Linked DNA regions of Bombyx mori. The protein of the gene in region 1 purifies or fractionates together with the protein of each later gene. This does not show direct contact. Links are inferred from orthologs where the notes say so. Each region holds a gene or a part of one and is shown on either strand. Other genes may lie near its edges.

What was found. Proteins that work in one complex are often made in the same cells at the same time.
Region 2: the proteins of COPB2 (region 1) and COPD fractionate together in Homo sapiens (co-fractionation; 5 studies listed by BioGRID and IntAct, with this or other methods). This does not show direct contact. The link is inferred for Bombyx mori from reciprocal best matches to the Homo sapiens genes COPB2 and ARCN1.

Annotation. Positions count from the first base shown.
Region 1 is NC_085107.1:19,807,215-19,813,450, forward strand, and holds part of COPB2 (coatomer protein complex subunit beta 2), read right to left. Parts: intron 3,361-6,236; coding exon 3,168-3,360; intron 2,771-3,167; coding exon 2,622-2,770; intron 2,190-2,621; coding exon 2,015-2,189; intron 1,837-2,014; coding exon 1,650-1,836; intron 1,476-1,649; coding exon 1,342-1,475; intron 1,017-1,341; coding exon 717-1,016; intron 392-716; coding exon 289-391; intron 128-288; coding exon 1-127. UniProt on the Homo sapiens protein: The coatomer is a cytosolic protein complex that binds to dilysine motifs and reversibly associates with Golgi non-clathrin-coated vesicles, which further mediate biosynthetic protein transport from the ER, via the Golgi up to the trans Golgi network.
Region 2 is NC_085130.1:5,922,748-5,929,496, forward strand, and holds the start of COPD (coatomer protein complex subunit delta), read right to left. Parts: upstream 4,629-6,749; 5' UTR 4,594-4,628; coding exon 4,591-4,593; intron 4,447-4,590; coding exon 4,407-4,446; intron 4,293-4,406; coding exon 4,172-4,292; intron 3,791-4,171; coding exon 3,688-3,790; intron 2,744-3,687; coding exon 2,624-2,743; intron 2,018-2,623; coding exon 1,958-2,017; intron 554-1,957; coding exon 442-553; intron 1-441. Other genes in the region: deubiquitinase DESI2, read left to right, coding at 5,487-5,532, 6,144-6,283. UniProt on the Homo sapiens protein: Component of the coatomer, a cytosolic protein complex that binds to dilysine motifs and reversibly associates with Golgi non-clathrin-coated vesicles, which further mediate biosynthetic protein transport from the ER, via the Golgi up to the trans Golgi network.

The DNA of each region.
Region 1 (6,236 bases):
ATTAGTCTCCCTTGCTCTGGTCACCACGGCAGCGTTGTACTTCAGGATGAAGTAAGTTTCATCGGTAGCCAAACACACAAGGTTCCCGCTTTCAGACCAAAACACGTGACGAGGCTGAATCTCAATACTGTTGAACAATCGTTAGTTTAGTGGTATAAAAAGGACATGAGAGACATTGAGCAAATTGTTGTCGCAACAAAAAAATTGTAAACATAACAACTCTTCTTAAAGGCTTTAGAAACATAATTTCTTGTAAACATCTAAATTAGATAGAGATGAGAATCGTACCGTCTGACCAGTTCCAAATGTTCCCAATCGTAGAACGAGAATGCTACTCCGCTGATAGACTTCACGCCGAGCATGTAACCTCCGAATATACCTGAACAAAACACTACAGTATAATCTTACAACGGTAAACAGTATTATTCATTTCGATAATACTTTTAACTTTTACAATCATAAACTAAACTTGAGCATTTTTATTAGATTGTTTCAGTATATTATTTAGAAAATCATGTATTCATACTAGTAGTAAAGAGATTTTTTCATATAAACAAGAAATCAGCTGATATGTGATTTAAAGTAGTTAAATTTGTTGTGCGTAACCATAAAATTATATAAATAACTCCATTCTTGACCCTGTCGACTTTTAAACCCGTTTACAAAATTTAATCACAAAGTAAAATGGAAATAAAAAAATATCGTACTGTTCTCACCTTCAGCACCGTACTCGGGCTTGAAGCTTTTTCTCTCCTTGAAATTCTTGAAGACTTTAACTGAAGATGAATTCTCTAGAGTCGCATACTCTGAGCTGTCGAATGCCCATACAAACTCCTGGGCCGTCCCGAACGCCTTGTTCCTCAGAGCCATCGCGGTGTATATGATGAACTCACCATCACCGCACACCACCACGAATCTACCGTTCGGATTGTGGGCTATCGTTTGTGGGTATATCTCGCAGGAGCCCATGTCTTTAGCAACGACTGGTACACGCTCTCCGTCCTTTATTTCTGTGCCTAAATATTGAAAGAACTGTGTTGCAATGATTGAATTTTTAGCGAATTTTGAATTTTAAACAATACTTCAAAATCAATTTTGTGTTTGTAATGAAAGTTCTGTTGATTCGAGAAAAATAGACAATGCTATTTTATTAGTATTTTATAATTTTATAGGCAGTAAAGAGTATTTGGGGTCTTATCTTGAGTGCCAGCAGAATAAGTATTTAAATATTTCTTTCTCTCTCACACTCATACACACTTTTTCTATCTTTTATTAATGCGTCTTATTACAAGATAAGAAAACTACCAAACTGAACATTTGATTTTAATTTTGCTTTGTTACCTTCAGGGAGAGCCTTCAAGTTGACCTGCTGCAATTCAGAGTGCTTAGCACAGATAATCTTTCCTCCGTTCACGTCCATAGATATAGCAGGCTCTTCTCTGCCCACTTTTATCATTATCGTACCTTCGTCATACCTATCAATAACAAACGTGAAATTAATATTGAGAAAAATAATTAAGTCTCCTACCATTACAACCAGATATTACTTTGATCCAATTTATCGTAATAATGAAACCTACATTTAATTAAAATATAATCGCCAATTGACTAAAATAACTCACATCTTGAGTAATCATCAAGAAACTCACCCTACAGCGACGTTGTTCGAACCGTGCATGGTGGATATCGTCCATACTCTTTCGAAACCATAATTTAGGGAAGACTTGAGCCTGTAGGTGCCTGCGTGCCATATTCTGAGGGTGCCGTCTTCAGAACCGGTTAGCAGGATCGGAAGCTCGGGGTGGAATGATACTGCTGATACATTCTGAACATGACCTGTCCAAGAATGAGATAAGTTATGTTTGCGTATTTAGGCCCCATCCCAACCCGATGACATTCTGTCGTCTACTTCTCGTAATAAGTCCCAGGAATATATATTTTTATTTGATTTTTTTAAAGCTCGGATTAAATCAATGCAGGACTAAGAAACGCACAATCTTCTATCAAAACTTACCTTCCAATGTTTGTACACATGTCTTATTTTGGTAATCCCATATTTTGACGAGCCTGTCATCAGCTCCACTGATGAGGTAGGGCTTGTCACCGCCATGATAATAGTCCACGCAGTTGACGCCTTTCTCGTGACCTTCTAAAGTGAAGTTCGATATAGAAGCACCAAGTTGCCAAACCTAAAAATAGTACGATAAACATTAAGAAAGTTCAACTATTTTAGACATCGTTACGTGAATGTTGTCCCTTTATGGATACCTTCAGACATGAGGTCAAGGCCCCCATTACATTGTGTAAAAGCTAATTATTTCACCCTTCAAACTAGATGGCATGTCTGCTTCGCGGCAGGATGAGACAGGTTCGTGGTACCTACACATGCGAGCTAACACTCCTCACCATCAGTTTCAGTGCTCATTGCCCATAATCCATTCATCATTCAGAGTCCATGGTTAACCACGAAACCGATACCATCTCTCATGTCCTAAAGTACGCGGCAACATTCTCGTTGTAAGCACTAATTACCACAAGAGCTTTATCGCCTTTACTGATCTATGTCAACAAGAGAAAGGATCTTAACGCAGTTGGCGTCAATACGTCGCCATTATTCCTACCTTCACAGTAGTGTCGAGACTTGCGCTTGCGAAGGTATTGTTATCCTTCGGGTTGATAACGATCTGCATTACGTAATGCGTATGCCCTTCGAATACTTGCTGACATGTCCAATTACGGTCCCAGTTCCACAATTTGATTAGGAGATCATCTGAAATATTGTGTTTATTTGATACTGTATTTTTTCTAAATTCTCTTTGTCAATATGCAGTATGTAATGCTTGATAAGCCTAAGTCATTCCAAGCTCATCATATTTTTTCTCTCTGTTCCTTTCCGTGTAGTAAAATTAGATACAGATCAGAAACCCCTACAATTATTTTCAATAGTTCAAACTATCTTATATCTTACAAGCTACAATTAAAATTAAATATTCCTCAAGTTCATTTAACAGCTTTAAAATAAAACCCAAGGTTTTGTAGACTTCATCGGACAAACATACTTATATATTATTAAGCTAAATAAAATAAATCAAACCAAGTAAAACAGAATTTGTGATTGTTTTTATGCAAATTGTAGACAAGTACATCTATTTCTTTCAAGTACTCACCACTGCAAGTCAATATGTACGGTTGTGTGGGATGAACGGCTATGCATCGCACATAATCCGAATGTGCTTCAAATGAGTGAACCCTCTCCAGGGTGTTGTAGTTGAATACACGTATCTGCATGTCATCTGAGCCAGTTATCACCCAGTTCTTCCGGGGAACAAACTTTGCTGATCTCACCGGGAGATCACATACCTGTTTAAAATAAAACGAATTATTATAAAATTTACTATGTATTGTAATTGGAGGCATTTTGGTTTACTTACAGAATGATGTTTACTCTAATTTAATTTATACGGAGAGTATAAAGCACAGAATTCATTTGAAAATACAAAAAAAAATGTATTCTTAGAAACATGATTTTCAATCACGTTATTTTTTAAGTAATTACTGATGAAGATTAAAACATAGAACAGTAGTTATCCCATGGCAATTGTACTCTGCAATACTCCAACATCATATTTCAAGGTTGAAGACAGTGTATAGGCTCAATCTCTTGACAACCCTCTAATACAGTCAATCAATCAATTGATGGACAGTATATTGATATGTATTGATAGTACAATGAACATATGCACCAAATATTTGCTTTAATAAAAGTCATATGATCAATTCATTTAAATAAGGTATCTATCTGACTTTAATTATTAAATATCCAATAGTGTCATAGAATTCAACTCAATTGTACAATTGTTGTGTGTATGTGTTTTGCTACAAAATGCTTGGTTATTTTAGGTAAAAGTACTGGAAAACAAAGCACTCTCAAGTATTACAAATGAGCAGCCATTTATGTTCGTATCATTAAGAAAATAAAAACAAAAACACAATTTCTCATCTTTATTAAAGATTACTGGAAAATCAAATTATCCGATGAATGCTTAAGCAATGAATGAGATAACATTGACAGTAGAACAATGTTAAATACAGCTGTTGTCCCTATCATTAACAATATAAAAACTTTGCCACATACAAGGAGTCTATTCTTGGACACACTTTAAAGCTACTTAAGTAGCAATTACTGAATAGATGTGTATCAATTTTCTGGTAAAATATATTATAAGCCTGTATGAATAGGTACCGCTGTTCCCATTTTTACTGATTGGAAGTCATGTGATTCAATTTAAATGGAGACTTCGCATAGTTATTGGGAGCGTTCACCTGGTGATGTCTATGGACTCTGTTAACTAATTTTGTCTTAGTGGACTGTGACCTCATTGTGTGACCATCTACGCAATAAAAAAGATATGCTAAGAACAAAGTTGACTGTAGGTAAACATTAACTATTAAATTATGTGAACCTTTCATAACACATTCAGAGAGTATAATGTAACTGAGTTTCAGTTCACTGACTCAAATGCTTTTATTGGCATAAATCAATATGCTATCAATTAATTAATGGTGTTTTGAAATTTGTTGTTACTTATGATTCTCTATTGCTATAATCTTAGATAGCTATAATCTAAGAATCAAAGCTTATATGCTAAAAAGCATGTTTATGTGCAAGTTTTCCATGATTTATTTCATAATATTACATATTTAATAATGATGGATTTCTTTCAATTCAATGAGTACTTTCAATGGTGAAACTGTCATCATTCAGGTTCATAATTAATAGTAGTTGGAACCGATTCTAATATATATGATTAATCTATAATTCATCCATCATGACAAATAATGAATATTCTTGATATCTTTTATTAGAAAACTATTTAATTTTACTTCAGTTTTTTTTTGTGTCGCTGCTGCTATTGTTGAACAGTTTTACGTTTAATTTTTGTGCAAGAACCAAACTACAGAGGAGCTGAAATGAAGTTATAATCATCAAAACCTAAATGAGATGCCTCTGGTAATAATTTCAAGAGATACAAGTGTTCTGATGTTCAAATATCACAGGCAAGTATGAATTTTTGTCGAGCTATTAATATTTATCACTTCCATGAGGGAATATCATCACTATTAATATCAGGTGGGGAGTCAATGAGACCTACTCAGATTAGTGGTGACTATCCCAAAATATTAAATGTCTTCATTGAGGCTCAAATACAGCATCAACCATAATATTACCTTACTTGGACCAATATTCATTACCTTCTTGGTACAGAGAATGCACTCTTCAAGCAGTACCTTTTGCAACCTAAGCTGAAAGCATCTTGGGTGTACTAGTTATCAAATCATATCAACAGGGCTTTTGCATGCAGTTTCGTACTGTTGACCAGAGAAAATATAAATACTTTAGATGTAAATTCACTGTGGAGGTTTTTGATGGCAGAGCTTAATACAATGTACATCTTAATCTGGGAAAACTAACAATTTCTGTCAGGCTAATGAATATTTTGGCCTTGAGTGGCTATATATTCCAGATTATTTTTGAGCTATGAGAAAATAATAATATTGAGTAACAAAGATCCATAGTCATAAATTAATGTAATTACTTACTACTACTAGTGGTAGTATACTGTAGGTCCATCCAAGTAACTGTCACCATTCTACCTATTTCTACAGCAAAGCAAATATGGATTCTCTTTCGAAAGGCAGAACATTTATTACAATTGACCTCACTCATGGTGGACGGAATTGTGAACTACACTGGTTGTCTATTACTATTAGAGCAGTATTTCTGAATACTCTTATCTGACACAAGGCAGGAATAAACTCCAGTCTAAACAGTGAGTAACTATTTTGAAACAAGTGAGAAACATTAATAGCCAAAACCATCCAGGACAATAAAAATTATACTAGTCAGAAAAAAAGAGGTGCATGGCTAATTTAAATCATTCAAGTGTGAATCACTACATACTTTAGAAGAAATTTTATAATGGTAATTAAATAATTTAATTTTCATTACAAAGAACATTCCATTAGATATATCTTATTCACATTTTAGAATTTAACTGACTATTTTTTATATAATTTTGCATATATTTAGAACATATTATTATTATCTCTAACAAACAGTCATAGCTTTTAAAATAAATAAATTCCATGTAATATTTTTATTTCAGTCACTGTTTAACAGATAAAACTTAATTGTTTTGTAATGTAAAGATAACAGAGAAATATATATTTATTAT
Region 2 (6,749 bases), on another chromosome or scaffold:
TGTGATTTTGAAGTGCTTACAGTTCTTTCGTCCTTTTTTATTTCTCTATCTTATTCTAATAACATTAAGCGCCTTTTTTTAAATTTACCCGGTTGCTACTGTAGCGCCACCCTTATTTAGCAGATTGTAACGGACACTTTTTACACACAGAGATGGTTCTCCTTAACTCTACTCTCCGGACTTTAAAATTTCGTATTTTTTGGCAAGCGAACAATGTTGCCAGTACCGAGACAATAAAACGAGTTTTTAATGATAAGGACCCTTCCAAGAATCAATTTCGTTAGCAGTCTACGAGTATATCGATTGTTTTCTGAACAAAATGTGTTTACTTAAAACTTTCAAGATAAATTATTTTAGATTTTCAATTCGTTTGGAAATGAGCAAGTTTGACAATCTGTGGTTTCCTCTCAAAGGCTTCCGCACAAAGCACACTGTTCTTACCGAAGGACATCTGTGAGCGCGGCGGCTGGCCACGTTTGGCCGCCTCCAATCTCTCACGCTGCAACTCCTTAGCGCGTTCGCGCATGCGGTTCGCTGCCTCGCGTTCTTGGGTCTAAAGTGTTTGTAAGTATTTATTTATTTATTGCTTAGATGGATGGACGAGCTCATAGCCCACCTGGTGTTGTGGTTACTGGAGCCCAGAAATCTACATCGCAAATGCGCCACCCACCTTGAGATATAAGGTTAAGGTCTCAGTATATTTACAACGGCTGCTTCATCCTTCAAACCGAAACGCATTACTGCTTCACGGCAGAAATACGTATAATTGTGGGTGTGTCACTGGTGGTAGGACCTCTTGTGATTCCGCGCGGGTGGGTACCACCGCCCTGTCTATTTCCGCCGTGAAGCAGTAATGCGTTTCGCGTTTCGGTTCGAAGGGTCGAGTAGCCGTTGTAACTATACTGAGACCTTAGAACTTATATCTCGAGGTGCGTGGCGCATTTACGTTGTAGATGTCTATGGGCTCCAGTAACCACTTAACACCAGGTGGGCTGTGAGCTCGTCCATCCATCTAAGCAATAAAAAATAAAAAAAATGTTTTTTTATGGAGACAGATGATGCTATATCGGAACACTGGCATGAGTAATGGTAGGCAGCGACTTGGCTGTGCCCCTGGCATTGATGACGTTCATGAGCGACGGTAACCAATTACCATCAGGTGGGCCGTAAGCTCACCTCCCTTTAAAGGCAACAATAATAAAACAGTCCAACGGCTGCTTTAAATTACCAGGGACTCCCGTAAAATTATCGGAATTCGACTATAATCTATGACGCCTTAAAATTTACACAATGAGTCTATGTTTTGTATTATATTATCTGTGTTGTTAACTTATAAACTTTAAAAAAAAACCGTACCTAAAGTCATTAGCTATTAAACAGAATTTTATCTTTGTTTATCTATGTACAGATTACACACGATATTCGAATGAGTTTCACTACTTCCACATCGTGCAGTAACTAGTTGAATGACTCGGATACACAGCACAGTGGTTGCACTTCCGTCTACGGGGACGAGGGTCCTGAGTTCAAATCCCACATATATTCGTGTGATGAACACATTTGTTTGTTATTTTTCTGGGTGTTTTGTAGGCGTATATATCAACATATATTAGTCTGTGGTTCACATAGCACAGAAAAATTTAGGAACTTATAAAAAAAAATGCTGGATTTACTTGATACCTAAATATTTTAAGAGAATCCTTTTCTTATTAATCAGTTGTATTAATTTTATATAAATAACAAAAAATATAAACATGTAGGTAAATTATAATGATTTTTATTTAAACGTGGCAACCCAAGGCCAGTTGTTGCTAAACTCACGCGACCCACGGACGTATTTATGGAACATTGATTTACAGGAAACTCCGATCAAATAACAGTGAGCTGAATAATTTGTCTATAGACGAATATCACAATAGAAAGAAAATTAAAAACATTATTAAATTTATACACGTACCTGCCTTACGGCTTGATAAATCTTTTCCTCGTGAGAGTCCATTTCAACAAACGAACGGACCTTAAACAAAAAAATTCGCAAAATTTAAATTCAAGACTATATAGGGCAATGTAGAAAATCGGTAAACGATCTCACGGCCAACCTTTTCGTGATTACTAGATGCCGTGGATATCATAATGTGAATTCTGACATCCACCTTGAGACATGAGGTCTACATCTCAATAGTATGGCGGCTATTTCATCCATCGAACCGAAACGCATTACTGCTTAAGAGTTGAATTGAATATATCTGTCATATTGCTACGCGCTGAGGCTCGGGATAAATCTTTTACCGAAGTACAAATTAAAAGTCTATTTAACTCTTAGAACATTCAAGGAACACTTTACAATTTGCTATTCACCGTAGAACCGTTAACTAAACTGCCTTCATGTCATCTCTGCAACGCTTTTATAGTCGATACGACAAATCCACAATTATCGAGAACATTTCCAACAGGACGACTCCTTTCGATATGTTTTACCGCTATTTGATAATAGATGGCGTTACACATTTCGAGCGCTCTCGATGTTACTAGTTCTTTTGATATTCGTTTCTGCTATTCGATGATAGATGGCGTTACTCTTACCGGCGTAACAATATCAAATTCATCTGTCTTATACACATACCTGCGCTAGATTGACGCTTTCTCTGTACCCAAGAGCGACAATCTCGTCGAAAGCAAATAGCAAATTGAAGGCCTGGTTCAAGACTTCAGTTTCTGTGAGCTGTACACAATATTCTGGTACCTAGAAAGAAAATAATAAGCACCGATAACTTGCTATTTTTGCATGCAAAACAGCTCCAACAACCTAAAAATTTTATGTTATAAATTGTTATTGTTAAATGAGACTTCTTATGAACATTAGTGGTGGATATTGTTGCATGTGTTGCCCATGTCCACTGGCAGTGACAACCGTTATAGCAGTAGCAATTGTAAAATAAAAAATATAAGACAAAAACACTGAATCAGGCTAAGAACATTTTCATGATAATCTGGCATCACAAGTTCTGAACGACAAGATTCTTAAAGTCAATATTCATAGCAATATCATTCGCTCAGTAAAAGATTTTAAAGATTAACCTTAGTTTGTCATGCGTTTCACACAATAAGAGAATGATTGACTCTACGAAGCACTGCTCTTGCTAGGGCTAGTGTTAGCGACATACTCCCCGGGTATGCTGGCATAAGCCCTCATAGGCTCCAGTAACCACTTAACACCAGGTGGGCTGTAAGCTCGTCCACCCTTCTAAGCAATTAAAAAAAACTAAAAAAAACACAAAATATGAGTACACAGTACTCTAACATTTGTTATTTTACAAGTACATATTTTGTATTTGTTTATTAATAATACTAAAATTTGTTACTAAACATTATTTTTTATCAAAATCAATTGACATACCAAAGAATACAGTGTTCAAGTGTTTTTCTTTGCCCATTCATGTAAGTTTATTTGATTTGCCTAATGTGAACCACAGATCTGTTCTTTATTTTGTGCTATAATTGTGCAAAATTACTTGCACTATGAACTTTTGTGTACAATTTTAAATTGTTTACATCCGTGCCCCTCCCTCATTTTAATGAATACTGAAAAAACTACTGAAATTTTTGTAACTGATACAATCTGCAATGTCGTTATCACTATATATGTACTAAATAAATAAAAATTTAATGCGATTAATAATATTTTACCACTCTGCTGAAGAGTCTCAATGTCTCCAGATCTTCCAGGATGTTACTAGCCTTTGTCGTGATCAGTAACATATACAACTTGTCTAGTGGCTGGTAGACATATCTGAAAGTGGTAAAAAATTTAGTCAGACATAATTTTGTATCAAAAATTTTTAACTTGCTTTATATATAATTGTACAGCATATAGGTGAGTAAACTGATGTCTCCTGTGGTGTATAGTTCCCATAGATATAAACGACAATAACAATGTTGCTACTCATTTTAAGACACAATGTTCAACTCTTTATTGTACATTATAACAACTTTCAAAATAGACATATGACACTGATTCACAGCAGTAATGGGTAATGCACTACACTTTTAGTTCTTATTTATTGATTAGATGAATATAATGGTATGCTTATAAACAACATTCGTCATTGGTATAAAAGAAAGAATAACTCATCGTAAAGAATATTAATGAAAATTTGTTAATGATAAATACCTGACGGACTCTGTTTCTACAAATGTATGCTGCCGTCCTCCTGTCATTAGTTTAGGGAAGGCCGCCAGTAGACCTTCGATGCGAGCTTTTGTCATTTCGACGAACTGGCGGGACACCAGAGCTAAATAAGTGGAACATCATTAATAGACAAGTAAAGTACTATATTACATTAAAATAATATTATGAAAAGTATCAAATGTCAGTAGTTGAAGCACATATCGGTAGTATAAATTACCTTTGCCTGACTTCGTACAAACTGTAGCGGCTATAAGTACCTGAAATAACATGAAAATACATATGATTTCAGTAGTAAACACTGACCGGGAACACAATAATATCTACAGGAATAGAATTAAAACAATGGGATTTATGGAATGTATGATGAAGAGTGTACGTTAATTTTATTTAACGTTACATACCATCTTGTTTTTATATTCTTATATCTAATTTTCATAAAACACACCAAAATATTTTAGGATAGGCTTCCACAAATTTGACAACACACACGATGAGGTGACGTGTTGACCATTTGACAGCAAACGTCAACAGTATTTTGTTAGACTATGGTTAGACCATGTTTGAGACATTAATCAACTGGGATGAAATGAGATAATATGGTATGAAATATAATCTCAGTAAAATTAGTGGAATTTTAGTGGACTTTTTGGAGGATCCCGAGAAGTTACGTTCAGCGGCTTTGTTTGATTTTCCCATATTTGTGCACTTTCACAGATACTAAGCAGTTAATAAACCACCGTTATTACATAATTAAACCTGAAGAAACACTAAATCGACAAAATAAAACAAATCACACAACTTCACTCCTAGCGTTCCCGCCAAAAAGCCTCTATGGTTAACTGCCAATTCTAGATAAAGATAATTGGTGAACTTGGTGTTAGAGAGTAATTCACAGGGAAGTCATTCAAAATAGTTCGGATTAAACAATTTTTATCCAACATTTCTAACTGCTAAGATTTGGTTTATGAAAAAACCCAGCTATAACTTAGACAAAGAAAAGATCTCATCTAAACTGTCAAAGATTATTTGTCAATGACAATTACAAGAGGAACATACCTAGTATAAATACTAAGTAGTCAAAATATAAATTTCAGTAATCTGTGCTTAAATGTCAAAAGTCAGTGTCTGTAAATCATTAAGTGTATAATCTATGCTGTAAATCAAGGCACGTTGAGGATAATTGTTCATAAATTATCAGTAAATTAAAAAAATATTTTTTTTTAAATAATAATTACATATTATTGTTCATTCATGTATTATGCTCACAATGGAGGCTACATTGTGACGCGGCCGGTTAATGTATACGGAATTTGCTTACACATCAAAGAAGCCAAATAACCGTAGTAAGTGAATTTGAAATATTTTCGTAGCTATAACTCGACAGGACACATGCTAGAGTCTTTGAATCTTATCTACGTTATATTCGCTAATGGTCAGACAATTTAATTTGCATACAATGACGATTTCGTGCCGAAACAGTGATAATCGTCAGACGAAAAGTCAGTCTTGTTTTGATAGTTCAATTTCATTAGTCAAAAGCGATTATCTCTGTTAATACGTACGCAAGTAATTATTTTTCAAGATTTTACACATTTGTAGTTGGTCTTAGTTTTATTCTAATGGAAGAAACATCTTTGATTGACAGTGACAATGAGGTACTTGCATGCTGTTGACATAATAATATCTTTATTAATATTTTACTTTTGAATGAGTTTTAGATGTTTGATGTTCTTTTACAGAACGTAGGAGAATGACAGTAAAAAATATTTTATTAATTTTTATCAGGTATAATTTTCAGTTCAATTTCAACATACCTTCATTTGATTAAAATTATAATTCAACTAGATGAAGGCTTAAAAGTAAATATTTCACAAAAAAAAAAACCTTAGGCTTAAACCTAATCGGCAAATATTCGAGGGCAAAATTTACAGTCCGTAGTGGCGATTATGTGTAGAAATGAGGAGATGTGACACGTGCAGTGCCCAAACTGAACGAAGGGCCACAGCGGGCCGCGGTGAAGAGTCAGGCGACCGCGACCCACTGTTACGCTCCCCAACAATATCTCAAGAGGAGCCCTACGATAACAGACCTTTCGTAAGACATATGTGTTTAACGTAGTTAGCATGTTCATTATTTTTATATAGTGTCATCAACACTATTTGAGCTGAAGTAATAAATGAATACTAAAGTTGGATTTTTTTATCAATGATTTTTATGTTTACTGTCGTTTTATCAATATACAATACCCTTTTAAGATAAAAAACTGGGTTTATCCTGTTTCTTTACCAAGTATACTTTAAATATAACATCAGTTATGATATGTTAATCAGTATTGCATGCTTAATTGATGAATAATGTTCCTTTGAATTTTTTTAATAATTGGATCATACCACACTTTGGAAAAAAAAAGAAACTTGAATTCTTAAATATATTCAATGAATTTGTCAACTCGAAATTCAGTGCTAATAATCTTAATTACTGGAACTGAATTGATATCTCAACCAAGCTTGGTAAACTTTAATGCAATGATAAATAGGTAAGGTAAGATGAAATAGGCATA